4 linked regions of the Elephas maximus indicus genome follow. The protein of the gene in region 1 interacts with the protein of each later gene in a pairwise test. Links are inferred from orthologs where the notes say so. Each region holds a gene or a part of one and is shown in the gene's direction. Other genes may lie near its edges.

Region 1 (8,328 bases):
TGGTCTAAAAGCGTATGATTCTATGATTGTATTGGCCTCAGCACTACTTAATCACGCCCCCATCCCTGGTATAGAACCAAAGACCCTCCACTTACCCCTCAACCCAATAAGCCAAAGTTAGACTCATTTCACACTCACCAGCAGCTAGGACGCAGTGGAGCAAATTCTTCTGTAGAAGATATGGGCTCTAGGAGAATTTATGAAACGTGTAAGGTTTGTCTTCAGAGCTCTCGCCCCCATCTTTACTCTCTTTCCCAGATGCCTAGGTGTTTATGTGCCCCTTATAGATATTTGGGAGGAGCCCTAGTGGCACAGTGGTTAAGCACTCGGCCGCTAACTGAAAGGTCAAGGTTCACAGCCCCCCTCCCCCCCGCAGGAGAAAGATGTGGCAGTCCTCTTCCGCAAAGATTTACAGCCTCAGAAACCTTATGGGGCAGTTCTACTCTGTCCTGTGGGTTTGCTGAGAATCGAATTGGCCCGCCAACAGGTTTACGGATATTCAGGAACCACCACCCAGCCTGCACTCCAGAGTACCCTGAACTCTTTAACTCCTCCCCATCTTCTTTCTTTACGAAAAACAGGAATAATAAGAGTGACAACCTTATAGGATTGGGGTGACGATTAAATAAAATAATGTATATAAAGCTCTAGTCCACTACCTGGCACTGTTTCATTCCACTGTGCATGGGATTCCCATGAGTCGTGCCGGCTCCATGGCAGCTAACAACAACGTCGTTATAATTCTTATTATTCTAGTGTCTCTGCTAACTCTCAGATGATAAAGCATTTTATGTTACTTTTTTTTAGTTTTGTGCCTAGATCATGGCACTAGACTATTATCTCATGGCCGGCTTCTCCCTGTAATCCACTCAGTATTCTGCCATTAACTGTATTCTTTTTGTCCTATTACACTCCCCACTCCCTCCCCACAAAGCCATTACTGATTTCCTGTTACCTACAGAGTAAAGTTCAAACTTCTTAGCCTGGCACTCAAAACCATAAACAATCTGATCCCTTTCCAGCCATATCCTTTGTAATCTAAAGGAAAGCCCCTAAAATATCGTAGATGACCAAAAACTCTAAAGGTACTAACAGTGTATTGTGTAGCCAGGAAATCTATGTACTTTAAGCAGCATTAATAGAAATCTAGAGTGTTAAACACAGGGATTTTTTTCTTCCACTGAACTCTATACCATTCCATGACTGGAAATAATACTTTCAGGTCTAGATGCTGAATTTCAAATTACATTACGAAAAGGCAATGTGTTCAAGAGTATGGGAATTGCTATATGATACAGTTAAAGAACTAGTTATGTTTAGCTGGGAAAACGTAAGCCTTAGGAGGAGAGGATGGTTATTTTTAAATACCTGAAGGATTTTCAAGTGAAAGAAGAACCGCATTTATTTTCTGGACATAACCAGAATCAACAGGCAGAAGTTACTGAAATGAGGATTTTGGTTCAATAGAAGGAAGAACTTGTAACAGATACATCAAAAAAAAAAAAAAAAAAAAAAAATGGAGTGTGTTACTAGATGAAGTTTTAAGTTCTCTGTCACTCAAAATGTCCCAGCAACAGTTGGCTCATAATGTGAGAAGAATATGGTGACGAATTGGACTAAATCAGAGGTTTTCATATTTTTTCTAGCTAAGCAATCTTTTCTATAAAGCTCGTGTCAAAACCCCAATTACAAAACAGATCAAAGCTGTTCTGGTTGAAGTCTGAGTAGGATGGATCCCTTTTTAAAAATTCTTTTTTCAACTAGACAGTAAGATTCCTGATAGTAGAGAATAACATACATATTTTTTATATTTACAGTGTATAACCTTTAGGATGTATTATCTGGGGCTTGATAAATATTTGTTGAATGAATGAAAAAGCAAAAATATAGTTATTTTTCTGAGGCATGCTTACGTTTTTAATAGAAGGCAACCTTTAACCAAAAATTGAATTCCTCAAGTGAGGGTCCTTACCCCAGTGGTCCATGAATCGCTAAGAGGGATGAGAAAGCCAAATTTGGGGGCATGTACATTTTCTGGGAAGAGGGTTTATGGCTTTTATCAGATTTTCAAAGGGGTCTCTAACCCAAAAAGGTTAAGAACCACCACTTGAAAGGAAGAATTTGAGGTATTTTTTTACCATAGATGTGTTTTGGGGCAGGGAGGTCTTCTGCACACCCCCTAAATCTTACGCATGCATGCTCTCTTGACTGCAAAGCATGACTGAGGGGTCATGACCTTAGGCTTTCCTAAATACACCATGCCCCTAGTCTTAGGACTATACTTAGTACTAGACGTCCAAGGCAAGCTTCCCTGGCAGTCACCACCACTGTATTTTTTTTTTTTTCTGTCTTATTACACTAATAGTCCTGTTGCCATTGAGTTGATTCTGACTCATAGCGACCCTATAGCCCTAGATCCCCTGCATTGGGTCTTGGGTTGACTGGCTGAGGTGATGTGATAGTTCCTGTCTTTCTTTGGATGTTCCAAGATTAGAGACAAATGCTTTCCTTCTTGGGCCTCCTCTGTGCGGAGCATGAGAAATCTTTGTGGTGTGGTGATAATGGTAGGGATTCCTGTGTCTGTGTCCCTGTCTATGCATATTTAGTCTCTCGGAATCAGAGACCATTTCCTGTGAACAGACCTCAGCATGAGAAAATGAAGTATTTTGTTTTAGGCAACTCTCTCCAGCCAGTTTTCCCAACCCCTACCCAAAAAGGGCCAGACAGTCTGGAGACTCTTGTTTTTGTGTCTCTAATCACCAGCTCAGACAGTGTCCTCTGGACTGTTTGGATGGCATATCCCTTTCCCCTCCCAGGATCACTCTCTCTTTTGTTGCATTGTGAGAAAATTATGGCTAGGAATTTGATCTGGAGCCAATGCCAGCTTCCGGGCGTGATCTCAGCATCCAAGTGTGACGATGGCACATCTAACTGAGGTGCTTTATGTCTAGCCAGCTATGACCTCCTCCCTCCCTGCTCATCCCTTCCTCTAGGCCACAGAATAGGGAGCAGCACAAACAAAGCCCTGAGATTTGGGTTTATTCAACTCTACCCAGAACTAAGCCAAAGGCTATGACACGTCCCAAGGGACCAAACAATATATTGTGGACCATGCATTTTTCCCTTCCCCCAAGGATGCTGCTACCTCTGGGATGGTGGGCAGCTGCTAGCATCACGCCTTGGGAAGTAAAAAGGGATTTGCTGGGTGCTGGGTCTGTGGCAGTCAGGGCTCAACTCCGGCCACCTCCTCCTCTTCATCTGGATCAGGAGGTGCCGGGAGCAAGGAGATGTAGACCTCATTGACCTCTGTGTCCAAATGTCGCCCACCCCGAGGGGCCTCCAAGTTAAGGATGCCATCATGGGAGAGAGCAGCACGGACCCGCCAGGGGTCGACATCAGCAGGCAGGACATAGGTGCGGCAGAACTCCCGGGACACGAAGCCATGGCGGTCCAGGCGCTGGGGGTGCCGGGCAGACACCTCCAGCAAGTTGTCCACAGTCCTCACGGTCACCTCATCTGGGGTAAAATGGCTTACGTCCAGAAATGCCTGGAACTTGCCCTCACTGAGCCTAAGCTCTGAGGCCCCTGCCCTGCTGCCCTCCCCAGCTTGGGCAGCCCGCGGCCGGACATAGTAGCCATGGTAGAGGGTAGGGGTCAGGATCTCTTCTGGCAGGAGGCCTGAGGGGCAGAGAGAGAGAAAGAGAAGGAAAGAAGCAGGATGAGGAAGGTGAGGTGGGAACAGGGATGTTTTGAGAATTGATCAAGAGATGAGGACGGATTGGGACCACAGGAGGGATTCAGGAGAAGCAGGGAGGGGAAGAGAAAGGGACAAGGTGACTGGGAAGAGAAGGAGGCAGCTGGGGAGACAGAACTGAGAAAGGAAATGAGATGGGGTGAGGGAGGGTAAACCAAACTGGGGCAGGGTGGATAGATGGGGAACAAGCAGGCACACCAAGTGGGGCAAGGGGCAGGGATCTGAGTATCGTGGCACCTAGTCTGTCCTGAGGGCAGTAAGAAAGAGAAAGAGCCCTCTTACTTGGAGGTGGGGGAAAGCAGCCTGGGGTGGGAGATGGCTCGCCCCAGGAGTTCAGTTAAGCCTGAAGTGGGGTGGAGGCCAGTAATGTTGGGAGGTCAGCCCAGAATTTCAGGAGGTGGGGGTGGGAGGCTGGGGGTGGCGTGTGTGCCATACCTTCTCCGAAGCGCTGTTCACCCAGGCGACTCGGGTTGGCAAATTCGTACTCGGTGGTGGCGGGGTGGGCATGCGGCACCGAGCGGCCAGACATGGCTGTAGACGCGTAGGCGGCCCTGTTCCGAGCTGCAGCCCCAACAGGCGCAGCGCGACCCCTCCTGCTGCCCGAAGAGCAGCTCGGTCGGAGGTGGGGGCGGGGTCTACACCACCCAAAATAGTGCCGAGCCTCTGGAGGGAGGGCGGGAGCGGGGGCCTGAGTGCGGGCGAAGAGTGTGAAGCCAGCGCCGTCCGGACCCCCGACCCCTCCCCCCCTTCAGCTGTCGCAGGGTGCTTGAGATGACAGCTGGGGGTCCTGGCTCGGGAGAGGGCTAGGGGAAGGGAGGCTGGCGCCGGAGCTAAGGAGAGGCACGGCTGAGACCCTCACGAACAGTTTGCACATTTTCCACACCACCCTTTCTCCTCCTCAGTCGCAGGCACAGTGTGTCGTACTTCATAAAGCACTCCTGGATGTAAAGTTCTGTTGAGCCTGGCAGAGTGAAAGATGAAAGAAACTTTTCTACCCTCTCTGTGGGCTTAATGGGGGTGGTGTGGGGTGGGGAGAGGGTTTTCCTGCCCAGATTAGTCAGGGTCCTCTCCCGAACCCAGGTCAACCCAGGGAAACCCACGCAGACGCCTGGCACTGACATGATCACTGCTTCAGGGACCCACAAGAGTTAATGTTCCTGGGGCACAGCCTCCGAAGATTCCAGTCCCTGCACAGGCCCAAGATAGTTGCTGGCCCGATTCCCCTGGCATGCAAGACCGGAGAGGAGGGGGAGGGGCACAACACCCGCCTGCCTGGGATTCCTGACTCTGTCCCAGTCCCCAAGAACAGAAGTGGGGGGGTGGGGGGCTGCCATGGGATGTAGATGAGAAAGCCAGTGAAACAAGACCAGGACAAGTTACTGGCCAGCTCAGACGTGTTTGTGTTTCTCTTTTCTTAGCTCAGTGAGTACTGGGTATGTGTCACACTGCCAAATCCCCGATCACAAGTCTCCATGAACGGGCGGTGAGCTGGGATAATAAAACCCCTGACATCACCATTCCAGAAGCTTCACAAGACTGCATATATAAGGGGCTGGCTGTAGCTGCGGCTGAAGGAGCTGACCAGCCAGCTGACCCCCCACACTCACCTAGCCATCATGGACATCGCCATCCACCATCCCTGGATCCGCCGCCCCTTCTTTCCTTTCCACTCCCCTAGCCGCCTCTTTGACCAGTTCTTTGGAGAGCACCTGTTGGAGTCTGATCTCTTCCCAACTGCTACTTCCCTGAGTCCCTTCTATCTTCGACCACCCTCTTTTCTGCGGGCACCCAGCTGGTTTGACACTGGGCTCTCAGAGGTGAGTCTCCTCTCTGCCAGAACGGGAGAGCTCTTCCTGGAACTTTTCTTCTCTTTCTTTTTTCCTTTCTTTCCCTGACTAAACCTGATTATGCTCAAGTCTCATAAGTGTTTCAGTTAGATGTGTGTCCAGACATGAAGAAAGATAAGGTCCCTAGCACCCACCTCTCCCAGTCACCTGTTTCTATTTGAAGCTTCTCTGCATCCTATTTATTACGTTTCTCCGTGCACTATGAAGATCATCCTCTGTCTGCTAACTTCCAAGCAGGATGCCCCTTCTCTAATTCGGTTCATAAAGATCTGCAGTAGAAAAGCTGCCTCCAGACTTCTTTGCTCACCTCTTATGATGTATCATACTCCTGACAGATTTTATCATCTCAAGTTTCAGAGCCAGGAGACAGTCCTCCCTCAGCTTGAGCTTTCATCCCTGTTGGGTGGAACCGGAGACAACAACCATTATTTTCTTCCTTTCTATTCCCTCTTCTGTGATTTTCCGCATTTCTTATAGTTGTAACTGGGCACTGCCTGTATCTAAGCCTTATGAGGAAGGAATGTAGGTCTGGTCTTGGGACCCCCTCACTTGTCCTAAAAGAGTGGGAGGAGTACGGGGTGAACAGATATGGTTGGCAGAAGCTGTCACAGATAACACTCTGGTTTAAAAATATTCAAGTATGAGTAAACAGTAGCTGAGTGAGCAAGGGCGTTGGAAGGACAAACAGGACCAGCAGAATATTCCAGATTGAGTGGGTGGGAAACTTGGCAGAGACCCGAGCAAGAAGAAAGGGGCCTTTGTCTTACAGACAAATGACAAGAGCAGGCATTGGGGTTAAGCAGCAGCAGAAGCCATGCCAGGCCCGTCCTTGTGATTTGTTAAGTCCCCCTGGGTGGCCTGTCTTTCATCCCTGTCCCTGTAAATAAAGTTTGGGCTTGATAACCAAGTGTTATGCTTTGGGTACCACTGTGGTGGCTACCCCAGAGAGCCATACTTATTCAAAAAGAGATTTTTGGCTAAAAAAGAAGAAGATAAACTACCTGGACAGAAAACAACTCTACAGAATGAGATTAACACCAAGATAATTAACATTCCTGGCATCTTTTCTTCTATCCCTTCTTCCTGTGCCCCATTCTGCTATTTCTAGATGCGCCTGGAGAAGGACAGGTTCTCTGTCAACCTGGATGTGAAGCATTTCTCTCCAGAGGATCTCAAGGTCAAGGTGCTGGGAGATGTGATTGAGGTGCATGGCAAACATGAAGAACGCCAGGTATGTAGCTTGTGTTTAGTTCCACCCATTCATTCAGTGCCTGCTCTATGCCAGGCAGTGCCATCAGCCTCTGAGGCTGGCAACATCCCAGTCCCAAGCCGTAAGGGCCTACATCAGGGTCACACATCGGTAGCTAGGAGACTAAATGAGTGACAAACCTGTTTTGTTTCAGGTTTTTTGTTTTTGGGGGGCAGAGAAGTGGCCTGTGTTGTTTGTTTTGATATGATTGCCTTAGAGGGGATGTATGGAATGTTCACTCTTCATTGAAGCCCGTGGTTCTCCGCCTTAGCCAATTAGAATCAGGGGAGTTTTAAAAAATCCCAATGCTCAGGTGCACTCCAGTCTAATTAAATCAGAATATTTAGGGGTGGGACCCACGTGTAAGTAGTTTTTAAAGCTGACTAGGTAAATCCAGTGTTGAGTCTAGGCTGGGAACCCCTGATTTAGGCATAGCGCTTGTCAGACACCTGGTTGCTTCACATAATGACATTGACTGCATCCACCCTAAAGGCATTTGAGTTTGTGACTCCTTTAGATGTTCAGGAATCTACTGCTTAAACCCATCTTATTGCTGAACTACTTGGTTTGTCTACTTTTCAGAACTGTACTTAGCTCCTAATACCCTAGAACCCACTGGTAATCAGTTCACTGAAAGTCTACCTGAATAAATGCTTGAGATTTAGCAAGTATAAGGGTTAGGGCTAAGTACTCTTTGGGGATTCTGAAGAATGGAACAGCTTCTTGTTACTCCTTGGGAGAATTTTTAAATGAACATGCTTCTCACCAATTAGTGAGAACTTAGAACTTTGTACATCAAACAGAACCGTTTGACACCCTCAAGCTGATTCAGCTTTGCTCACTCGATTTAAGTTTGGGTCACAGTCTCCCTGGATGGAGTAACTGTTCTTTAGCAGCAGTCTTTTTGGTCTGGAACATTCCTGGAGTAAGGACAATTTCTGGGCTTCCTCAGGGACTGGCCTGCTGAAATGAGATTCATATCCTATAGGCCCAGCCAACATTGATCTAAATCTTTAGGAAATATACCTAAACATATCCATGCCTCAGGGTCTAGGGAACTATGAAGTTCTGGGGGTGTTTCAGACTTCTCAGACTCTTATTGGTAGCAGTGACCACTAAGTGACTTTGTCTTAGCACCAAACTGAAATGAACAGCTATTTAGCTTTTTCTCATCATGCTGCCATGGCATTTGGTTCTACCTAAAGGGAGTAAGGAGCTCTGGTAGTGTAGTGGTTAAGAGCCTGGCTGCTAACCAAAATGTCAGCAGTTCAAATCCACCAGCTACTCCTTGGAAACCCTATGGGATTTCCTACAGGGTTGCTATAAGTCGGAATCAACTCAATGGCAACAGGTTTTTTTTTAAGGGGAGCGGGGCTGTCTGAGGTTTTGGCGAGAAGTATTATTTCCTGCTCTTATCTCTCTGCTTCTTTCCTCGTTCCCTTGGATTAGGATGAACATGGTTTCATCTCCCGGGAGTT
Region 2 (7,329 bases), on another chromosome or scaffold:
CATTATCTCATTTCATCTTCACATCAGCCCACACACATTCTTGCCTTTCAAATTTCTTATGTACTCAAATGAGTTTTACTGAAAAATTGGCTAGAAACTCCCCTTCTCCCACTCACTTTTTTTTTTTTTTTTTTAAACCCCAAGCCTTTGACTAATATCCTTTAAGAAGCTCTCAGATCGGATTGCCAGGGTGGGGAATTTGTTTCTTCTGCCTACCCTGCCCACTGGATAGACACCAGGATTCCTGGTCTTTACTGCAGGAACCAACACTTTTGTATTCAGTTTATAGTTTAGCCATTAAAACAAACAGACAAAACCACAGAGGTTACGGTAAATGTACTATTGTGGGGAAAACATAGACTTCGGAGCCAGTAAGCCCCAGAGTCAGATTTTGGTTCAGCAATTTAAGAACCATGTGGCCATGGCCAAGTTGCTTAACTTCTCAGAGCCTCTATTTCTTCGTTTGTAAAATGGGGGCAATAATACCTATGTCTTTAGGTTGTTGTGAGAAATAAATAGATACAAGTATACTTCAACAAATGTTGCCCTTTCCCTTGCCTATCTTTCTTCCCTAAGGTCAAACAGCTACTTCACTGAGGTTCCTTATTGCTAACCAAGAAGTCCTCCACTACTAACTTAAAGGTTCGCAATTTGAGCCCACCCAGAGACACCTCAGAAGAAAGGCCTGGTGATTTGTTTCTGAAAGGTCACAACCACAAAAACCCTATGGAGCACAGTTCTGCTCTGTGCACATGGAATCGCCATGAATTCAAATCGCCTCAAGGGCAACTTTTTTTTAAAATACTAACCAAAGTACCAGCTTCATGGCAACCCAGGCAAATTAAATGTAATACTTTTTTTTTTTTTAACAAGCAAAAGGAGAGGTAGAATGTTGGGAATATGTTGCTAAATGAATTTAGATGTAGACTTTTTTTACTAGATGAATAATTAGACACATATCCCTTGTACCGTGGCATGCTTGTGACCATGGTTAACTCTAACAGGACCTTAAGTTCATTATCTCTTTTTAAAAAGTTATTTTAGGTGGGAGAGAGAAGGAGCTTGAAAATTGGACATACCTAATGTTGGAAAGGAAGACAGTGGTTTTGGGAATGTTGGAAAGGAAGACAACTCTAATTACACTATTAAATTCCAGGATTTTTATCAAAGCAGGATCATAAATCAGCCCCTTAATTCCTGGGGACAAAGGTGAGAGAAGGGGGGGAGTGCAGAAGGCTCTGACTGGGTGTTTACTGCTCTGCACATAGTAGGTGGTCAATAAAAGCTGGTGATAGATTGAGGCTGTTTAGAGAGTCCAGGTCTAGTTTGACCTTTGCTGCTAACTTCTTGGCAAATGTGGTGCAAGACATCGTGTTGGAGGGAAAAGAACATTTGACTAGGCACTGAAGGCCTGTGTTCAAGTTCCATCTACACCACTTAACAGTCTGGCAGCCCTGGATGTGACACTTAATCTCTTAAGAGTCTTCTCACCTGTGAAATGAGGAGACTGAACTAGGTGATTTAGAAGGTCCTTTTCAGCTCTTGAGGTTCTGGGACTCTAAGTAACTTCATTCGCTTATGTTTACATTTCATTTACAGGGATAGAAACCTGTCTTACAGGGCATTGGTAAGAAACGGTCAGTCTGCATGTTGAAATGCCCTGCATCTCTAGAGAAAGGAAGAAAACGCAGTGGCCCAAAGCAGTGTAGCAGAGTGGAACATTCTGCTACAGAGCGGACTGGTGAGTCTGTCTCCAAGCTCTCGAGTTCCAGCCACTTAGTAGCTTTGTGATATATGTCAAGTTCCCTGATGTGTTTCAGTCTCAGTTTGCATATCTTTAAACTGGGGACTGTAAGTTGTGAAAATGCTTTGAAAATCTGCAATACACTATATAAACAAAGTATTATTGAGAAATGGCATGCAAATAATTTACTTGTTACAGTTTTATCTAAGTTTTGTACCATGTTTCCTAGTATTTTCAAATGAATGGTTGTATCACCTTAGTCCCAGAGGAGAGATTCACTTTCCACTCCAATTTACGGACAGAGGTGATGTTAAGTCACAACGGGCATTACTAAAAAGCCTACCAAAGCTACCGCCCAGTCAGCCTCGCAGCTTTTGAGGGCCTCAAACCTGGGTCTCCCAAGTGGAAGGTGAGACTTCTATCACTGAACCACCACTACTCTCCACCATAGACATCAAGTAGTTACCCCAATGTTCCACAGTCTAGGGATTTTTTTTTCCAGAGACCAGACACCAGCTGGTGGAAGCTTTAATTCTCCAAAAGATAGCATCTTGCCGCTTCGGGTGTGTATGTCAGGAGTAGGGAGGCTATGGAGTTAGTTTTCTGAGAGTTTTGAAAGTTCCAATATTCCAAGGCAATAATAACAAACGTGTAAAGTGTTGGAATGCAGAACCTGAGATGGCCTTTCATCCTCCCACCTGCCAGGGATTGCTACTCTGGGGAGAAATGGCCTTGCTCACCCAGGGCCTTCTTAGCTCGAAGTTCAAAGTAAGATCCCAGCCTGTAAACCGGATCTCCCAGCCTCAGCTTCCTCTTTGGCTACATGCATGGCAACATGCCATACCCAGTTGGTGACTGAAAAGTCTCCCCATTCTATGCAGAGGGCACAAACAGCCCCCACTGTTAGCTGTGACCCCACACCCAGGGCATCTCCCATCAGCTCCTACGAATAAAGCATTGCCCTCTGCCAGGCCACCACCACCACCAGAGGAGCAGAATGGAGTTGGGGCTATGCAGCAGAAATCAACTTCTGGTTTATCTTGTGGGGGCTGGGGAGACGATCTGGAATTTGTCTATAGAAGGAGCTTAGGGGTGCTGATCTGTTTGGAATGGGCAGCTAGGGGGCTTGTCTTGGAGCTGCATTTCATAAGGTGCACACTGTTTTTTAAGATGTATATGTGCATGGTTAAAAATAGCAAAGTTGTTTCAAATTTAATTATTCTTACAAATTCTTATAGATCATTTTTATTTGGGTTGATTTGGGGATGAAAGTTATGAGTTTTAAGGGTCAGCCCCCTCATGGCCCTGCCACTGTTAACCCTCACCATTAATCTCATCAACTTTTTATGATTTCCACTTTTTAAGCACACATATCCATTGATTCAATACATCCATTGCCTTTCTTCCAAAGAACTGACTGACTTTAGAGCAGGTTAATTTTGTTTAGTTTTTGATAGTCCCCTCCTTCCCCCATCCACTACACACACACGTCAGAGTTATAAAGTCATTTTACAGGAGAAATTGAAGGAGAGGCGTGAAGCGACGCGCTCCAGCCACAGAGGGGCAGCGCTGGGTACCGAGTCAGGCTTCCTTCCAGGCTCTGGCGGCTCGCAGCCTAATTGCCCGGACAGACTTACGGAGCTAAAATTCCTGGGCAGTGTGGGGGTTCAGCTGAATTGCCAGCTCTTTGTTTCTTCTGTCATAGGTCGACTCCTTGGGACGGATCTGAGAACCAAGGCTGGTGGCGTGTGCTCGCGCGCTGCCGACCCGCACCCCCTCACGCCTCTGCCAGCCCTGTGTGCACGTATGTGTCCAGTGAAAAAACCCTAGTACGACACTACATCCTTTCTCCCACAAATAAAGCCCTCCAAGGATGATCTCATGGCTGCAGACTAGCCCCTCGCAAGCCAACTCGACTCCCGCGGGCGCTCGGTTCTCCAGCTCCGCGTCTCCCCCTTCTCACCGCTTATTTTTCAGCCGTGCTCTCGCTTCTGCGCAGCTTGCTCTAGGTGATGGTTCCAGGGAGAGGCCTAGTTTGGGGAAGGAGTGCTGAAGAGGAGTCCCGAGGTTTGGGCTGAGTAGCGGGGTACCGAGGAGAACGCTGACGCCAGGGAGCCAGGTCACGTCCTAGCGGGTCCCAGCTTCCTCCCCACGCCCACCTCCTCAGCCCGGGAGTCCCCGGGGGCGTGCGCAGGGAGGGGGTGTGCAGACGCGGGCGTGTCTGTGAGCTGGAAGCGGCTTTGACATTGAACACTAGCTCCGGTGTGTGCGTGTGTGTGCGTGCGTGTGTACACGCGCGTATCTGCGTGTGTGAGAGTCGTGGGGAGGGGGCCGGGCTAGAAGCTGCAGCAAACCACAGCCCTTCTGGGTGCAGCGCAGAGCGCGCTCCCGAACCGCCACCCGCACGGGCTGTGAGCTCTGAAGCCATTCATGATTTTGGTGACGTTATTCCAGAAGTGGGCGAGGGAAGGCGGGGCTTCCAGGGGCCAAGCCCCGCCTCCACCACTATAAATACTGCTTCGCCGGCTCTTTGTGGGGCCGGGAGCTCGGTGGAGAGTTGTGTTCTGTGTCTGCTCTGCAGACGCCGCTGGCTGTGGGGTTGTCGCGTGAAGGCGGACTGGCGAACGTCCAGTGCCCGCACTCGGCCGCCTGCCTACCTCCCTGTCTGCCGTGCGTCTTTCTGCGCCCGTGTCATCCTTGCTTGGGACGCGGTGACCGTTTTTAAATCACAAAGGCGTGGGTCAGCCTCCCCTAGGACTTCATGTCTGTATATTTCCCCATTCACTGGTGAGTATCCTGCGCCCTTGGTGGATGTCCGTCTCGCGGCCGTGGGTGCCTGTCCCGGCGGGCGCCTACTCGAGCCGGCTCAGGGTGCGAGCGAAGCCGGCGGCGCCGACGCCCAACGCTAACCCGCAGCCCGAGCTGGTGCAGGAGTCAATGTCAAGGTTGCAACGGTGGGGGTGGGGGAAGTGGTGCTAAGAACATCCAGACAAAGGAAGTGAACTTGGAGCCCTCACCCGAGTGACGGCCGGAGGATGTGAATGTGGGGTGGGAGGGTGGATGGAGAACCAGAGGTCACGCCGGAAGCCCCGCCGTTAAGTCCCCTAATGCGGAGGGCTGCCAGAGGCGCGCGCCCTGCCTGCTTTGGGGGCCCTTGCTCTCCCCCGGCCCCTCCCCTTTTTCTTTTTGTTTGCAAGCAAGTCTCGACGTCCAGGCCGGTGGAGCTGGTGCAGCAGCGCCGTTTGCAGAGCTTCAGGGGGTGGGGAAAGAAGCGATCTCACACATAAAGCCACTAGCGGCAGGGTACACGCTGCCCTCTTTCGACCCCTTCCCTCTCCATAGTCCTAAAAAAAAAAAAAAAATCGAGTCGTCTTTGCAGGGGGCCTAAAGAGAAGTCGCCCTCGCAGTGCCGGGCTGGAAGGAGCCTGGGCCGGGCGGGGGGCGGCGGAGGCTTGTATCCCGCCTGGGGATCCGGACCGAGAGCGATGCGCCGCGGGCGCGGCTCTAGACGCGGAGCAAGGCCCCCGCGCCGGGGAAAAGAAGGAGCGGCCCGGGGCGAGCGCTGGCAGCCCCGGAGCGCGCTTCCAGGTGAGGGGGTGGACAACCCAGCCCCGGCGGGAGAGGCAGGCGCCGAGCGAGAGGCAAGCATCCGCGCGATCTTGCTCAGGCCCGCAACCGGGAAGTTCACTGTTTCTCACCTCAGCTCTTCGGGTCCGCACCACAGCCCGAAGCGAGGAGACAGCGCCCTTACACCAGGCGAGGAGCCTGGCGAGCGCCCCGTGGTGGCTCCTCTGGCCCATTTCTTTGGGAGCCGAAGGTAGATTTTGCATGACTCGGGAAGAAACTCCCGTTCCCGCCACCCCTGTGGTGTGTGAGAGGCCAGATGACCTGTGGGTGAGGTTTTGAAGACTGCTGGAGGTGTCTATGCCCCTGGCCACTCAAAGTCGGCCAAGGGTAGACAGATGCCCATCAGTGTATTATCCCCTGAGAAATTGAGGGTTAGGATTATTTTATAGCTGATTAATACTTCCTAGTTGTAACTTCCCCCCCCCCCCAGGTATTAACTATTATACATAATGGTGAGGTAAGCATCATCAGCATCATAGTAACAGAGGAACAGGACACCTGTGGCTCAGAGAGGTTCTATGACTTGTTCAAGATAACACAGTCGTTAGTGGCAGAGCCTAGACTAGAACACATTGCTTGTTTCCAGTCCAGTGACATTTCTACTCTATGTAGTAACAAAATGAAGAGGAGTCTGGTGCACCTGTTTCCCTCTAAAGCCTGGTCCTCATTTTTTTTTTTTTAATTCATGTGTAAAGGTATGATGGTGGAAATACTAGGTGTTGTGTAGAGGGTCCGTGGACTTTGGTGTGTACTATTTGGTATTATGCGTACAGGACCCTGTGTGGGCTCATGGCTTGTGTAAGGATGTGGGAGGATAATGGAACGTTTGTATCCTGCTTATAGAATACAAAGCACTTTCACATGTCAGCCATTGGTGGACCAGCTTGGCCCCTCTGGAAATTTCCTTTGCAATCGGAGCCCTGGTATCCCTAAGGGTTTTAATCCAGGGGATGTTTCTCAAGCTGTGAGTTTGCAGCTGCTGTAGCTGGAGCTGGAGAATGGGGTTGGATGGCACATGTGAAGCCTGCAGAGGTGACCCTTTGGGTTTAAGTGGGACATTTTTGCAAAGAAGAGCACCAGAGAAATAGGGAAAAATGTAGGAGGACAGCGTGATTGGACTTGATTCCCTGAGGTTGACCTGTTACTGTTATTATATAATAATAATATGTGTGTTATTATTTGATAATAATATGCAGTTCGTCTTTGGACAAAATTCATGTGAGGATAATTTTTTTTTTTTTATCTTTTATCCAGGAGGGATACAGGGAGACTTGGTTGAATTGGTTTCAATTTAGACAGATGGATTCAGCTACTTACTTTTTTTTTTTTCTAGTTCTGTCATTTATAAAGAAAATCCGGAGTTGCTTCTGTGCTTCTAGAAACAGAAGCAGTGGGTTCTAATCTGATGGATAAATAGGAGAGGAGAGGAGCAGAGGTTTGCTAGAGAGATTTTCAGACAATGGCCTTTGTTGGTTGAGGTTGAAAACCCGGACCTGTGGGCTTATGAGGCACTTTTTCAGGTTATGAGCTTGTTTTTCTGTGAGTTCTGTTTTGAACACTTCTCATCCTGTCTCCAGACAGTCCCCTGATCTAACAACAACGGATGTACTGAGAGTGGGAACGTGAAATTGCGTGTCTTTGTTGACATTTGGTCTGGGTTTCTTGGCAGCCCTGACTATCTGAGATCTGCTGAAATGACTGAGGTGATGATGAACACCCCATCCATGGAGGAGATTGGACTCAACCCCCGAAAGGGTGGCCTTTCCTATCAGGTGAGTTATGTTCTGAGTCCCCTCTGGCTCTTTAGAGGAGGTAGCTTTTGCTTGGGCTGGAGGCAGCAAAAATCCCATGCCACTTGTAAGAACTTTGTGACCTCAGGAAAGTCCCCTAATGCCAGTAAGCCTCAGTTTCCTCCTCTCTAAAATGAGGACAACAATAGTGTGTACCTCATGAGGCTG
Region 3 (7,203 bases), on another chromosome or scaffold:
GCATTTTCCATTTTTCTCTTTTAGAATCTATTAAAACATTTAGCTTGTGTTTCTGGCACTAATAGAGTCCTGTCTTTCTTGCAATCTGTTGAGCATTCAAAAGCAATAATGGCATTTGGTCAAACACAAGAACATGTGTTTTCAAGGTGAAAAGTAACTTCTTATGAAGAATATTATTTCCAGTACTCTTTTAATGTCTAAACTCTGGAGGCTGAAAGAAAAGTTCCATTCAATTGGGCTAAATTCATTTGTAGTTAGTCCTTTACGGACATATTTGTAGTTCCAATGATGAATTAGTGCTTATTGAAACACCTCAAATTGTCCCTCCAGTTTATCACGACCAGATATCTTCCCTATATCGTCCAACTCTTACCTAATGAGAAAAGTTGTTCTTGGCATTAGCACTTTTACCTTACCTCCATAAATAAATACACAAACAGGTATATTCTCACTTACTCCACTCTGTATCCTTCTAAAAGCCACCGCCCTTTTTCTCTCAATTCTATTACCGATACCCCATTCCTCCATGAGATTTCTGGTCCAAATATAGATTCACTGTCTTTCTGCTATATATATGCTTGAAGAAGAATTTCAGGATATTCACCAAAACTACATGCACGTGGGGAAACTCAGCCTCACATCATTTTAATAGGAAGTAAGGTATTATCACTCTACAAAGAGAATATACTAAGTGGAAAATAAAGAACTGAAGTTTTCCAGATTGTATGTTCTTTATATTTATTTTTGAAAATTAAAGTAGCTACTAACAAATTACAATATCATAAAGAAAAATAGGCAAGTGAGGACATTGGGTCAGAGAAAAAACTAGAATAGGAGAGATGAGATGAAGTCAGGAATAAAGTTTGAGAGAGAGCATAGCCCTGCCTATGTCCTGAATACAGACTTCTAGCCGCCAAAACTGTGAGAAAATAAACTTCTGTTGTTTAAAGCCACTACTTTGTGGAATTTTGTTATGGCAGCACTAGGAATCTAAGACACTGGATTTCTTTAATTAACTCTTTCTTCTTGAAAACTAGTTGCCTCCACTTCTGAGGTACAAGAAAATGGAGTCTTTAATGCCTACAAAAAGAGAAAATCAATAGTGGGGAGGGGCCTGGGGAAGAGATTATGCCCAAACTAATTTCTAATTCTACTCCTCACTTCTTCTCTGCCTCCTCTCTGCAAAATGAACACTGGGACCTCAAAGAAACAAGAGGGTCTGAAGTGCAAGCACCACCTAGTCCTGGAATGGGAGGATGGATGTCCTACAGGATCCTAGTAACCTCTTCAGTTGATGCTGGAAAGGGTTAAGGATTTAGGGTATACTTTGATTGGGTAAATGTAAGAAAGGCAGGGGTTCACGCTAGAATAGGTGTTGTCAGGAAACGGGGGTAATTTTATGATTGAGTATCTCAGTAAATCTTACCTATATGAAAGTGAGGCTAGAACAAAGACATAGTTGTAATTGATTAACAAGTAGCAGTTAATCAGTCTGGCCAAGAGAGGAGTGTTTGGTATTTTGTGGGTAGCATATTGACTTTGTTTTTGTCTGTGCTTAAACAAAATTATGAAGTCACCATATTTTGTCTCGTTTCATCATGTGGTTGTTGTTAGGTGCCGTTGAGTCGGTTCTGACTCATAGCAACCCTAAGTACAACAGAACAAAACCTTGCCTGGTCCTGCGCCATTCTCACAATCATCACTATGTCTGAGCCCATTGTCGTAGTCACTGTGTCAATCTACTGCATCAAGGTCTTCCTCTTTTTCACTGATCCTTTACTTCACCTTGAACACTAAGGTGTGCCAGACCCAAGACATAGTGTTTTCAATCACCTCAAATGCATGCAAATGCTGGATTATGAATAAGAAAGACCAAAGAAGAATTGATGGCTTTGAATTGTGATGTTGACGAAGAATACTGAATGTAATACTGACTGCCAAAAGAATGAACAAATCAGTCTTGGAAGAAGTACAACCGGAATGCTCCTTAGAAGCAAGGTTGGGGAGACTACGTCTCATATACTTTGGACATGTTATCAGGAGGGATCAGTCCCTGGAAAAGGACATCATGCTTGGTAAAGTAGAGGGTCAGCGAAACAGAGGTCAAGATGAATTGACAAAGTGGCTGCAACAATGAGTTCGAGCATAACAATTGTGAGGATGGTGCAGGACCCAGAAGTGTTTCATCCTTTTGCACATAGGGTTACTATGAGTCAGAACCAACTCGACGGTACCTAACAACAATAACAACTACTTTGTCAAGTGTGATGTCCTTCTTCAGGGACTGGTCTCTCCTGATAACATGTCCAAAGTATGTGAGACAAAGTTTCGCCTTCCTCGATTCTAAGGAGCACTTCTTCCAAGACAGATTTGTTCATCCTTCTGGTGCTAGTCCATGGTACATTCAATATTCTTCGTAACACCATAATTCAAAGGAATCAATTCTTCTTCAGTCTTCCTTATTGGCTGTCCAGCTTTTGCATACATATGAGCAATTGAAAATATCATGGCTTGGGTCAGGTGCCCCCATAGTCCTCACAATGATATCTTTGCATTTCTACACTCTACGGTCTTTTGCACCTGATTTGTCCATTGCAATTTGTCTTTTGATTTGACTGCTGCTCCTATGGGAGTTGGTTGTGCACTGTTTACTGTGGATCCAAGTAAAATGAAATCCTTGACAACTTCAGGATTTTGTGTTTTTCATGATGTTGCTTATCAGTTCATTGTGAGGATTTTTGTTTTCTTTATGTTGAGGTATAATCCATCCTGAAGGCTGTAGTCTTCATTATGGTCTCAGAGAAACTTGGTCCGATGTTGGTATTTTGTGAGATTGTTTATGTCTGATTAGGAGCCTGGTGGCCACAGTGGTTAAGAGCTATGTCTGCTAACCAAAAGGTTGGCAGTCCAAATCCACCAGCTGCTCTTTGGAAACCCTATGGGCAGTTCTACTATCCTACTGGGTAGCTATGACTCAGAATTAACTCGAAGGCAACAGGTTTTGTTTTGTTTTGTTTTTTTGTTTGTTTTGTTTTCTCTTTTAATTAGGAGAATAAATGGCCTGTGAATGCTAGTCCAGCTTCCAAATGTAATAGGCTTATTTTTTCTTCTTCTTCTCCTTCTTTCTTTCTTTCTCATTCATTACACTGTTTCCCAAGAGATAAGTATCATGAAATAATTGAAGCTCTGAGAGGTTATATGGCTTGCCAAGTTCATGCAGCTGCTAAATAGATGTCCTGAGTCCAGGCAACTCTTGAAGCTCTACTGCCTCTCCCATCTCTGGGAAGAGGGAAACAACCTACAAAGCAATCCACTACTCAGGAGCCCTGGTAGCACAGTGGTTAAGTGCTCAGCTGCTAACTGAAATGTAGGTGGTTCAAACCCAGCATCCACTCCATGGGAGAAAAACGTGGCGCTCTATTCCATAAAGAGCTATCGCCTTGGAAACCCTATGGGACAGTTCTACCCTGTCCTGTAGAGTCAGTATGACTTGGAATCAACTCAGCAGCAGTGGATTAATGGGTGTTTCTTATCACGAGTTTATCACTAGGAACTGATTTCCAGTTAATTGAAATGCAACCACCAAGGGGGAAGTTAATAGCTATGAAAGCATGGAGTCAAGGTGGTGAGGCCTAGCAAAGATCAGAACCTAGGTTTCTCCTGCACTGGAATGGCAAACCACATAAAGAAAGAAATTTGAAGATAAAGTGGTCTCTACCAACAAGGAAAATTAATGCTTGCCTCATTCTATTTCACAAGCTGCCTCTCTGAAATTCTGGAGCATTTCTGTAATGGCATAGATTTTCTTCAGAAAGCACATGGAGAATAATTGAATCATGTATGTAAAGACATGAATTTCAGGTCAAAAGTTCAGTCTGTCCTGATAAATTTAGAGAACACTAAGAATTCAAATAAAAGCGGCTTTAAAGACTCATCAGAACAGACCATACAGGACAGCATTAGAATGTACTAGAGAACGAGGGCAAAATCAACGGTTATTTCCACCGAATGCAGCATGTAAAAGGGATCCCTAAAATCCCCTTACTCACCAGGCGGGCTCCCTTTTGTGTTGTTCTTGCCGATGCAGCAGCCGTCCTGCTATATAGACCTGCTGCTGCTGCCACCCAGTTACGCTGAACTCGCATCATCCCTGTCAACCAGCCATGGGAAAGGTGAGCAGAACACAAGTTAGACAGAAAGGGGGCAAAAAAAAAACAGCTTCTATACAAGGTCTATGGAGCCCTGTTGGCGCAGTGCTTAAGCACTCGTTGCTATCTGAAAAAATCAGCATTTGGAACTCCAGTTTCTCCACAGGAGAAAGATGTGGCAGTCAGCTTCCATAAAGACTTACAGCCTTGGAAACCCTATGGGGCCACTTTACTCTGTCCTCTAGGGTCGCTGTGAGTTAGAATCGACTGGACAACAATTTTTTTTTTTTTTTAAATACAAGGCCTAAGTAGCCCTGGAGGCCCAATGGTTAAGAGTTTGGCTACTAACTAAAAGGTCAGCAGTTCAAACTCACCCAGCAGCACCTTGGGAGAAAGACCTGGCAATCTGCTCCCTTAAAACTTACAGCCTAGGAATCTCTAGGGGCAGTTCTGTTCTGTCCTATAGGGTCGCTATAGGTCAAAATTGAATCTACGGCATACAACAAGAGTTGTTGGCAATTGCTGACTTCCGTTGTCTTTCACTGTGTGCAAAAAGTTCTATTGGAAGCAGGTGATAATTTGGAATTATCTTTTCTTTGCAGATCACCTTCTATGAGGACCGGGGCTTCCAGGGTCGCTACTATGAGTGCAGTAGCGACTGTCCCAACCTGCAGACCTTCTTCAGCTGCTGCAACTCCATCCGGGTGGACAGTGGTTGCTGGATGCTCTACGAGCTCCCCAACTACCAGGGACACCAGTACTTCCTGCACCGGGGCGAGTACCCCGACTACCAGCAGTGGATGGGCCTCAGCAACTTGGTCCTTTCCTGCTGTCTGATCCCCTTTGTGAGTTCTTCTTGGTTTCACTCTTGGGGCCTGAGTATCCTCACTGTATTAATGACTGCAGTTAGAGTCAGGGGAGGTTGTCCTTTAAAAACAATGAGGGTCAAGAGGGCTTAGATACGTGCTGAAGCACAGATAGGCACATGTACAAAAACAGTAGAGAACCTAGGGAAGAATTCACTTAGAGGAAGAGCCAGTTTTATTTTTAATTTTTGCTACCATTAGGTAAATCAAAAGCTGTCCATAACAAATGTAACATTATAATAGTATATGAAATAAAACTTGCAAATGGGAAGTTTGTTGGGCAAAAAAAGGCAGTATTTCTAACAAATTTTTTCTATAGTAAAGGAATCTATAATAAATGAATGAGATAGGCTCCACTGTGGACTGGAAAGAATCAAAAACTCTGTTTTTAATATACCGGTTGCTGTTGAGTCAATTCCGACTCAGAGGGTTGTTAATATAATCTACTCAAAGGTAGTATCCAGCTTTGGGATTTTCCTTAATTTGGAACTTGAGTTCAATTCTGATTCCAAATGACTATTTAAACCAATTTTCTACAAATGTATGTGATTTTTAAAATCCTCTTTTAGTAACCAATCTATACATAGATACAAATGTGGTATGTTTGTTTATTTTTAGGGAGATAGCACTCTTATTAAAAAATATTAATCAAATAAATGATTCACATTTCCCCCAAAAGAGAGGTCTGAGACAGCACAGGGAATTAGGAATCAAGATATTTGAGTTTGATGGATTTTAACTCAGAGTTCAAACCTCTTAAAAATCCCATCTCCTAAACAGTTAAGCCAAAGGACTAATGGACCACACTAGAACCACAGCCTCCACTAGCCTGAGACCGGAAGAGCTAGAGGTGCCTGTCTACCACTACCAAAGGCTCTGATTGGGATCACAATAGAGGGTCCCGGACAGAGCCAGAGAAAAACATAGAACAAAATTCAAATTCATAAACAATACCAGATTTGCTGGTCAGATTGAGATTGATGGAACCCCTAGACTATGGCCTTTAGACACTCTTCAAGCCTGGAACAGAGCACACTCCAGAAGATCACCTTTCAGCCAAACAGTAAGCAGTCCTAAAAAGTGAACACTAACACCCGTGAGAAATGTGCTCCTCAAAACAACCAACGATATGAGACCAAGAGGGCAGAATAAAACGTGCAAAAAAAAAAAAAAAAAAAAATCCATCTCCTAGATAAGAAACAGAATACAACTATGCAATTATTTGAGCCTTAGTGGCACAGTGGTTAAGAATTCAGGCTGCCAACCTGAATTGGCAGTTCAGATACACCAGCCACTCCTTGGAAACCCTATTGGGCAGTTCTACTTCATCCTATAGGGTCACTATGAGTCAAAATCGGCTCGACAGCAACGGGTTTGGTTTTTGGTTTTTTTGGTAAGAAACAGACACATCACTGAATTGTACATGTAGAAATTGTTGAACTGGTGTATGTTCTGCTGTGAATATTCTCAGCAACAATAAAAAGTAAAATAAATTATAAAAAGAAGAAACATTGCCACACACAGCATTCACAGGGATCTCAGGATCTCCATGTTCACATTGACAATCCCATGCCCCAGCCTGCCAAATTCATCTGTGGTTTGGTTGGATGAATTCTGGAAGAGGTTCATTTTCTTCTCCGCTTTTTCTTTGTGGACCCAACAGACAGCCTCCCACAGGATGCGGCTGTATGAGAGAGATGACCACAAAGGCCTCATGATGGAGCTGATCGAGGACTGCTCCTGCCTCCAGGACCGCTTCCAATTCAGTGAGGTTCGCTCCCTCCATGTGCTGGAGGGCTGCTGGGTCCTCTATGAGATGCCCAACTACTGCGGGCGACAGTACCTACTGAGGCCGAGAGAGTATAGGCAGTATCAGGACTGGGGAGCTATGGATGCTAAGGCAGGCTCTTTGCAGAGGGTTGTGGATTTATACTAAAATAGGTTAACGCTACCATTTTCTTAGTTTGGAATCTAATAAAATATTTAGTCTGTATTGTTGGCAATTGTCAACTTCTGTTTTTCTTCTGTTGTGTGCAAATTCACTCACCTACAACTACCCCCATTAAAGATTGAAGAGTGAATGGGGGTGGTGGCTGTTCAAGAAGCAGAGTGAGTCTTGGCAAGGTTCAGAACTGGGGTTGGGGGACCATATAGCCTATCTGAGAAAGAAAAAAGTGAGCCTTGGTGGT
Region 4 (8,285 bases), on another chromosome or scaffold:
TGAATCATAAGAACAACCTTGGGAGGTAGGCTCCATTGTTAAGCCTTTTTAACAGATGAGGAAACTGAGGCTCAGAGAGGTAGCGTCACTTTTCCAGGGCCATGCAGCGAAGAAGCAGTAGAGCTGGGGTTGGAACCAGTGTGTTGACTCTGGGACTCTCATTCCTATGCCCCCCACGCCCTGATGTATTCATTAGGGACAGGCAGCCAGCAGGGGTATATAGTAGAAAACAACAACAACAGCAGCAGCAGTGGTAACAACAATAACAACAACCAAGTGCTCTACTGGGTTCTTTATGGGATCGTCTCTGACCCACAGACAGGTAATAGTGAGCCTCATTTACAGAGAGAGAAACTGAGACCCAGAGAGTGGCAGTCAATTGTCCCAAGTACCATAGCAGGTAAGTGTTGGGACCGCAACTCAAGTTCAGGTCTGGCTCCAAGCCCTTTTGTCCCATCTCATCAGCTGTTGATGCTGTGGCTGGCCAACCTAATGTTGCTGCCATTGCTGCTGATGGTGCTGGAGTGGCAATGGTTATGGATTATTGAGCATGACCAGTATCATGGGCACTGGGCTCAGGGCTCCCCATGAAAGGGAGGAGGGGCACTGGGCCCAAGGCTGTCGCATGACCAGCTCCTGAGCATCCTGGGTCAGGGAAGGCCTGTGGGAAGACTGACTCAGTGCCCTCCTCACTGGGGCTAGAATCCATCTCAGTGTCTAGAGATGGGCTGGCCTAAGAGGTAGGGTCTTAAGAAGGGAAGTAATTGTCCTAAGATGAGAATGTTGGTTTTTAAAGAAGCAAAAACCCTTGGGCTTGATTATCTCAGAGGCTCCTTCCAGCTCTGGACTTTTTATCTAAGGACTACACTCTGTTTGTCCAAAGGGACACTGTGGCCTCTTCTTTTCATGGGAACAGGAAGATGAGTGGAGAGGAAACCCTAAGCCCTTTCTCTCTGTGTATCAGTCAGGTTACACTGCCTTAACAAATAGCCCCAGGTCTGGGTGATTGAGAACAACAAAGGTGGATTTTTTATTCATGTCACCTGTCTAATGCTAGTCAGAAGGGGGCACTTCGCCCAGGCCAACAGAGTTTCCACCATCTTATAACACAGCCATCTCAAGGCACGGGACAAGAAGAGAGCACTGGAAAGTCAATAAAAAATTTTGACCTGGAAATTATACCTGTTGCGTCTGCTCAGAATCCATTGGCCAGGACAAATCACACGACCCCACCTAATTTGAAGAAGGCTCGGTGACACTTGCTCACTAATACACCCTGTATTGGCTGCTTTTGCTTCCCTGTCTCACTTCCCCTCTCCCTACTGATGCTTCCCGGGATCAGTAAACTATCTGCACTTGAACTCTTGTGTGAAGGAAGGCCTCTTGCTGGTAGAATTTAAACTAAGACCCTCTCATTCTTTTCTTACTCATGAATTAAGTTGATCAGGCAACAAATCTTTTCTGAAAACCTACTACGCATTGGATACAGAGACCACAGATCCTGTCCCAGCTCAGTAAGCTCTTTGTCTCAGTGATGAGTGACCTGCTCCAGTCACCCCAAAAAGTGAAGTGCTGCCTGTACACCAAGGTTCGTTGCAGCACTTTTCAGAATAGACAAAATGTATAAACAACCAAAATGTCCATCAACCAACGAATGGATAAACAGAATGTGGTCTAATCACACAATGGAATACTACTTAGCCATAAAGAGAAATGAGTCCTGATGCAGGCCACAACATGGGTGAACCTTGAAAACATCAGACTGAGTGAAATAAGTCAGCCGCAAAAGGACAAAATTGTATGATCTCACTTATATGAAATAAATATATAGAAACCAAAGATTACTAGTGATTGCCAGGGATAGGAGGGAGGGGGGAAGGACAGAGTTACTGCTTAGGGCGCATTGAGTTTATGTTAATGGTGGTGGAATGATTTGGAAAAGGATAGAGAGGACGGTTGCACACCAAAAGGATAGTGAGAAAGGTTGACATGCACCGATGTCACTGAATTGTACATGTAGAAATTGTTGAGATGGCATATGTTTTCTTATGCATATTTTCACCACAGTAAAAAAAAAAAAAAAGGTGAAGTACTTTGAGATCTTAAGAAGGTGTCAGCTGAAGCCCCACCAAGGCAGGGACCCTATCTATATCCCTCACCACTCACCCCCAGCTGATACAGCGTCAGTCTTCAAGACGTATTTGCTGGGTGTAGAAATAAACGAATGAATGAGTATAGAGACATCCAAGTTGCTGACAATCTTCAGCCTGGCATTTTCTTTAATGAGAGGATGAATAAGAAAGCAATGTAATAGGCTTTGACAATATTGAAGTCCATGTAGATGTCATGGTAATGATTAAGGTAAGAGCTACAATTACTTAGTGCCCAAAAAAAAAATTTTTTTTTTTTCTATGGGTTAGAAACTCTCCTGCGGGGTTCACACAAGTTGACTCATTTCACAAAGGGTGTAATTATGAACTGGGTTCAATTCCTGACCAATGCACCTCATGTGTAGCCACCACCCATACCTCAGTGGAGTCTTGTGTGTGGCTCTGATGCTGAACAGGTTTCAGTTGCACTTCCAGACTAAGATGGACTAGGAAGAAAGGCCTGGTGACCTCCAAAAATTAGCCCATGAAAACCCTATGGATCACAATGGGTCTGATCTATAACTCAGCACGGGGTGGTGCAGGGCCAGGCAGCATTTCGCTCCATTGTGCATGAGTTGGGGGCTGACTCGACCGCAGCAAACAACAACAACATAAATTATGAGTGCTATATTATCTGTGAATTAAAATATTTAGATCCTTATAAGTGGGAAGTGAGGTCCCTAGGTAATGCAAACAGTTAACATGTTCAGCTGCTAACTGAAAGGTTGGCGTCTAAGCCCACCCACAGGCACCTCTCTGCTACAGAAAGAAAGGGCACAGCTAGTGGGGTGGTGATTGTGTGTATGTGTGTGTCTGCATATGTGTGTACATATAAGTGTCCCTGTATGAGTTATATGTGTCTATGTGTGTTTTGGGGGGACGGGAGGCGGGGGAACAAGTATCCTTAGATTCAGTTTCCAGGCCCCAGTGCTGTCCCCGCCCTCCTGCCTGATCTTGAATTCAGTCAAGACATACATCAGGCACCTGGAGGAATGTAACTGAAGTCCTGCACCCCTGTCCCATCACTTGCCTCACTTCAGCCACATGAACCTGTTTCCAATCCGCCCCCCCCCAAAAAAAACCCAGTTGCTGTTAAGTCGATTCTGACTCAAGGCTACCCCATGTGTGTCAGAGTAAAACTGCCCCATAGGGTTTTCAATGGCTGATTTTTCAGAAGTAGATTGCCAGGCCTTTCTTCTGAGGCACCTCTGGGTGAACTCAAACCACCAACCTTTTAGTTAGCAGCCAAGCATTTGCACTTTAAACCCACCATGCAATCTCCTTGCACATGGGCCCCTTCTTCTGCTTGGAACTAGCTCCCCACTCTCCTCCCCAGGCCGCTGTTTCTCCATCTTTCAGGGACTCCTCCTCCCAGGAGCTTCCCTTGAAGGCCTGGCTGGGTTAAGTCCCCTTCTTGATCTTATCGCCCATAACAGAGCCTGGCACCAAGTAGATGCCTGGTAAATAGTTGTTGGAGAGATGGAGGGATGGAGGGATGGATACCACTAACCATCAAATCAACTCCGACTCATGGCGACCCCATGTGTGTGTCAAAGTGGAACTGTGTTCCACAGGGTTTTCAACACCTGATTTGTTGGAAGTAGATGCTCAGGCCTTCCTTGCGAGGTGCCTCTGAGTGGACCGAAATCACCAGCCTTACAATTAGTAGGCAAGTGTGTGAACCCTGTGCACCACCCAGGGCTCCTGGATGAATGCCTGCCCTGCCAAGCACCCTCCTTTGCTTATTCCTCCCCAGGATCACGGAGATTTGTCTGCATCCGCTATGCCCCAGGGCCTGACTGACCAGGCCCATGAACCCAGTATGCCCCTGGTCCTGGCAGCTGGATGGCTGATGCATGCAAAGTGGGTATCCTCCGGTCCAGCCGCCTGACCACCCTGGCGAGGCCGAATCTGACAGCTAATGACATTATTGTGTGGAGACACAATGTTTGTGGGCATTTGCTGAGCCAGGCTTTGGTGTGGGCTTAATCCAGCATTCTCACTCTGCTTTCCGCGGCTACGCAGCAATCACCCATCTTGGCGCTGGCACTTCTGGGGAAGGTATAAAGGCCACCTCCTGCTGGCCAGGCCTCAGGAGCACTCGCGGGGGCTGGTGTCACTGGTAAGAATGCCTCTCTTGCTTGCCTTGCCTTTTTCTGTCATTCTCATCCCTGATACATCGCATAGGAGACCTGGTTTCCAATCCAGATGTTGCCACTTTCTGACAAGGTGACTTTGGGCAGAGACTTCAATGCTTTAAGCCTCAGTCTTCTTTTCTGTTAAATGGGGAGAGAGATCATAAAACCTCCCTTGTGGAGGGGATTAGAGATAAGGTAGGTGAACAGTCCAGTACAGTGCCTGGCATATAGTGGGAGTGTTCTTTATTATTATTAAACATACCATTTTTGTTGTTGTTATTTGCTGTTGAATTGACTCCGACTCATGGCCAACCCACGTACAGCAGAACGAAGCATCGCCTGGTTCTGAGCCATCTTCGCGATTATCGGTGTGCTTGAATCCATTGTTGCAGCCACTGTGTATTCTGAGTGCATTCCAATCTAGGAGGCTCATCTTCCAGCACCATATCAGACAATGTTCTGTTGTGATCCGTATGGTTTTCACTGGCTAATTTTTGGAAGTAGATCACCAGGCCTTTCTTCCTAGTCTGTCTTAATCCGGAAGCTCCGCTGAAACCTGTTCACCATGGGTGACCCTGCTGATATTTGAAATACAGGCAGCCTAGCTTCCAGCATCACAGCAGCACACTAGCCACCACAGTACGACAAACTGACAGACAGGTGGAGGAGCCAGTCCATCAGCATCCTTGTTTTACTGCAGAATCTAACTTGGAGGGTTTGCAAGTAGAAGGAATTGAGCCAGTGTAGTTCAGCGTCACATCTAGGGCGGTGCATCGGCTCTTTGCATACCAGCAAACATTACCGCCCGCTCGGTGCCCAATCTCGGCAAAGTACCACGGGAGAGGAAACTGCTGTAGTGCTGAAAGATCTCCCAGCAACAAGTGACTCAAAACACTGGTGCCTGGTAGAAATAACCCTGATAGTCTCACAATTGCTGTCATTTCCTGGGAGCCCAGCGTGTGCAGAGCTTTCTGCCAGGTGCCGGAAGTATCACGCTTTATATAACCGAATTCTCACCGCCTGCCCACAGATATTTCGGGCACTCTATTACTGTCCCCATTTTAAAGACAAGAAAGTGAGGCACAAAAAGAGGATGTGACTCACCCAGGGCCTCAGGGCTGGTAAGCCACAGTGTCAGCTCCCGAGCTGGACCGAGCGGGCTTCATCTTTAGTCTCAGGATGCCGATGGCTGCGGGGTGGGGTGGTGGAGACTCAGGTGCCTTGGCAGCCCCAGAGGGCGGGCTCGTTGCGGAGGAAGAGCAGGTTTGGCTCACAGCTGCTTAACTGAATTATGTCCTTTTGGGGATGTCCAGCCTTGGCCTCTAATGTGGAAGGAGGTTCTGGAAGCTGGATGTTGTCTCTGGAGAAGGAAGTCAGGTCGCCTGTCTTGCCCCTCGGGAAATGAGGCCTGTCCTGGCTGCCACCCCATGGAAGTGAGAAGAGCCTGACAATTTTCCAGATTTTTCTGATGTCCTTAAAAACCAAAAACCAAGCTCGTTGTCCCTGAGCTGATTTTGACTCAAGGTGGCCCCATGTGTTACTGAGTAGAATCATAGGGTTTTCTTGGCTGTAATCTTTATGGAGGCAGATCACCAGGCCTTTTTTCTGAGAAGCCACTAAGTGCAGACTGTTCGCGCCACCCAGGGACCCTGATGTTTTCACCAGCCAAGAAATTCTCTCCCCTGCTGCCTATGACAGTGCCTGAACTTCCTCCACTACGCCTTTGCTTTCTTGTAACGTAGAATTCCACAGCAGCTGCGCTCCCTGATGGGGCCCAGTAAGGCCGATGATAGAGAGGAGAATTCTGGGTACCGGGAACGGGGAGAGGAGTCTAGGGAAGAAGCTTGGGGCAGGGGTGGGCGCAGGGGGTGCAGGGGACTCTGCGAGGTCTCAAACTGGAAGCCATAAGACAGACATGGCCACGGCATGGCTTTGGTTTGCTTCACGCCATTTGCCTTCAATCAAGAAAATCCACATCAAGGCAGAAATTCTGGTATCGCTGTTCTGTGTTCTGTATGGTGTCTATTGGTTGGAGCTGGATGATGGGAACCCACTTGGGACCCTGCGTAGGCTCTGGTTTATCACCACGTCCCTGGCATAGACCTCAATTTTTTCCTCTTTTTCCTGGAGCTGACCTGGATATAAAGAAGTGAAGTTAATGGTGAATGTTCAGGCAGTTGCTTGCAGACCCCAAGGTTCTAGGACAAACTGAGACCAGGGGGAACAAGACAGGGCTTGGGGCTCAGTGGAGTGGCCTTGAGTCATCCCTCACCACCAGCAGGGTGAGAAAGCCCAGGTTCAGCGTCCACCGCTCCATGAGGGCAGGGTCTAACTGCTGGTCTCCATGCCTTCCAGGTCATTTCTGCACGGGGAAGTCCACCATGGCCTCAGACCACCAGACTCAAGTGGGCAAGCAGCAGCCCCTCAACCCCAAGGTGGGTACCTCACAGGGTGAGCCAGCAGTGAACCTCCCCCAGACTCAGTATCCTCTTCTGTAAAAAGGGCTGGTGTCTTCCCTCCCAGGGTTCCCCCTTCCCACCCCTGCCCCCTCTCTGGGCCTCAGTCTCCCCACCTCTGAAGGCCCCTCCCCTGTCATAGCTGGACCACCTAGATTCCCATCACCAGCTTCCGGCATCAGAGCCTGAAGTTTCTCTGCCTTGTCTCCTGAACCCCATTACCCATGGGGGCTCCCCAGTTGCAGTCTGAGTTGGAGCTGGTGAGTGGGGGTAGGGTGGACTATATATCCGACTCCACACCTGCAAGACTGTGAGACCTGGACCAGATCCTTGACCTTGACCTTCATGAAATGGGGAGAGTGGTGGGACTTCTGCCATAGGATGATGGTGACTTGGCAAAGAAACCGGGCTCCCCTTGACACCTGACGCATTGTGAGTGTGCACCCAACGCCAGCTCGTTGGTCTGCTTTGCTGTCTCATCCAATGTCAGGTCTCAATGGGATCTAATCTCGGTGTCAGAGGCTCATCACACCCAATCTGCCCCCAAACCGCCACCACCTACCACCCACCTGGCTGCTCTCCCGTGCCTCTCTGCCCACTTCAGGAGCCCAGGGCATGAATTCCATCCCAGAACTCTCTGTTTGTCCAGCTTGGGGCCTGCTGGCCGGGGAAGCTGAGCCGAGGTAGCCCCTCACTCTCTTCACCCTTATTCCATCCCTCATGGGGCTGACTTTCTAGAGGACAGACTATAAGCCAATAAACAAATATGTGATTTCAAGTAATGAGAACTGCTAGCAAGAAATATAAAGTAGATTTAAGGGGGTTGTAAGAGTCAGGTGGACAAGGGATGGTAGTCAGGAAGGGCCTCTCTGAGGAGGTGACATTTGAGCAGAGACCTGGGACCAGTGAGGAGACAGCTGTGTGCAAATTGGGGTGGGGGTGGGAGAGGGCACCAAGGCAGAGGGAACCGCAAGTGCAAAGGCCCTGGGGTGGGAACCAGGGGGGTGAGTGTGAGGGACAACAAGTTCAGTGTCGTGTGGCTTAGAGCCGCGCTGCCCAGCAGAAGTATAATGTGAGCCACATGTGTAAATTAAAATGTTCTAGTAACCACATTAAAAAAAAGTGAAAAGAAACAGGTGAAATCAGTTTTCATATTGTATCTCATTAAACCCAATATATGCAAAATAAGAGCATTTTAGCATACAAGCAATACAAAAATTATTAGGGAGATTTTAATTACTTTTTTCAAGCTAAACCTTAAAAATCTGATGTGTATTTTACACTTACGTTGTTGTTGTTAGGTGCCTTTGAGTCAGCTCTGACTCATAGCAACCTTATGTATAACAGAACGAAACATTGCCAGCTTCTGTGCCATCCTCACAATCATTGCTATGTTTGAGCCCATTGTTGCAGCCACTGTGTCAGTCCATCTTGTTGAGGGTCTGCATCGTTTTCATACATCTTAATTGGAATCAGTTTCATACACTTAATAGCCCTATGTAGCTAAGGGCTGCCATATCAGACAATGCAAGTTTTAAGGA

The links.
Region 2: the proteins of CRYAB (region 1) and LBH interact in a two-hybrid assay, tested with the Homo sapiens proteins (2 studies listed by BioGRID, with this or other methods). The link is inferred for Elephas maximus indicus from reciprocal best matches to the Homo sapiens genes CRYAB and LBH.
Region 3: the proteins of CRYAB (region 1) and gamma-crystallin C interact in binary tests that used the Homo sapiens proteins (3 or more experiments, as listed by UniProt). The link is inferred for Elephas maximus indicus from reciprocal best matches to the Homo sapiens genes CRYAB and CRYGC.
Region 4: the proteins of CRYAB (region 1) and CRYBB2 interact in a two-hybrid assay, tested with the Homo sapiens proteins (2 studies listed by BioGRID and IntAct). The link is inferred for Elephas maximus indicus from reciprocal best matches to the Homo sapiens genes CRYAB and CRYBB2.

What each region holds. Positions count from the first base shown.
Region 1 is NC_064825.1:6,983,031-6,991,358, forward strand, and holds the start of CRYAB (alpha-crystallin B chain), read left to right. Parts: upstream 1-5,226; 5' UTR 5,227-5,370; coding exon 5,371-5,571; intron 5,572-6,709; coding exon 6,710-6,832; intron 6,833-8,299; coding exon 8,300-8,328. Other genes in the region: C7H11orf52 (uncharacterized protein C11orf52 homolog), read right to left, coding at 139-187, 3,146-3,173; HSPB2 (heat shock protein beta-2), read right to left, coding at 3,224-3,678, 4,190-4,283. UniProt on the Homo sapiens protein: May contribute to the transparency and refractive index of the lens. Has chaperone-like activity, preventing aggregation of various proteins under a wide range of stress conditions.
Region 2 is NC_064830.1:49,963,251-49,970,579, forward strand, and holds the start of LBH (protein LBH), read left to right. Parts: upstream 1-4,289; 5' UTR 4,290-4,505; coding exon 4,506-4,531; intron 4,532-7,040; coding exon 7,041-7,143; intron 7,144-7,329. UniProt on the Homo sapiens protein: Transcriptional activator which may act in mitogen-activated protein kinase signaling pathway.
Region 3 is NC_064824.1:106,974,273-106,981,475, reverse strand, and holds gamma-crystallin C, read left to right. Parts: upstream 1-4,163; coding exon 4,164-4,172; intron 4,173-4,750; coding exon 4,751-4,993; intron 4,994-6,677; coding exon 6,678-6,950; downstream 6,951-7,203. UniProt on the Homo sapiens protein: Crystallins are the dominant structural components of the vertebrate eye lens.
Region 4 is NC_064840.1:31,512,633-31,520,917, reverse strand, and holds the start of CRYBB2 (beta-crystallin B2), read left to right. Parts: upstream 1-5,245; 5' UTR 5,246-5,266; intron 5,267-5,319; exon of another isoform or gene 5,320-5,409; intron 5,410-6,643; 5' UTR 6,644-6,669; coding exon 6,670-6,723; intron 6,724-8,285. UniProt on the Homo sapiens protein: Crystallins are the dominant structural components of the vertebrate eye lens.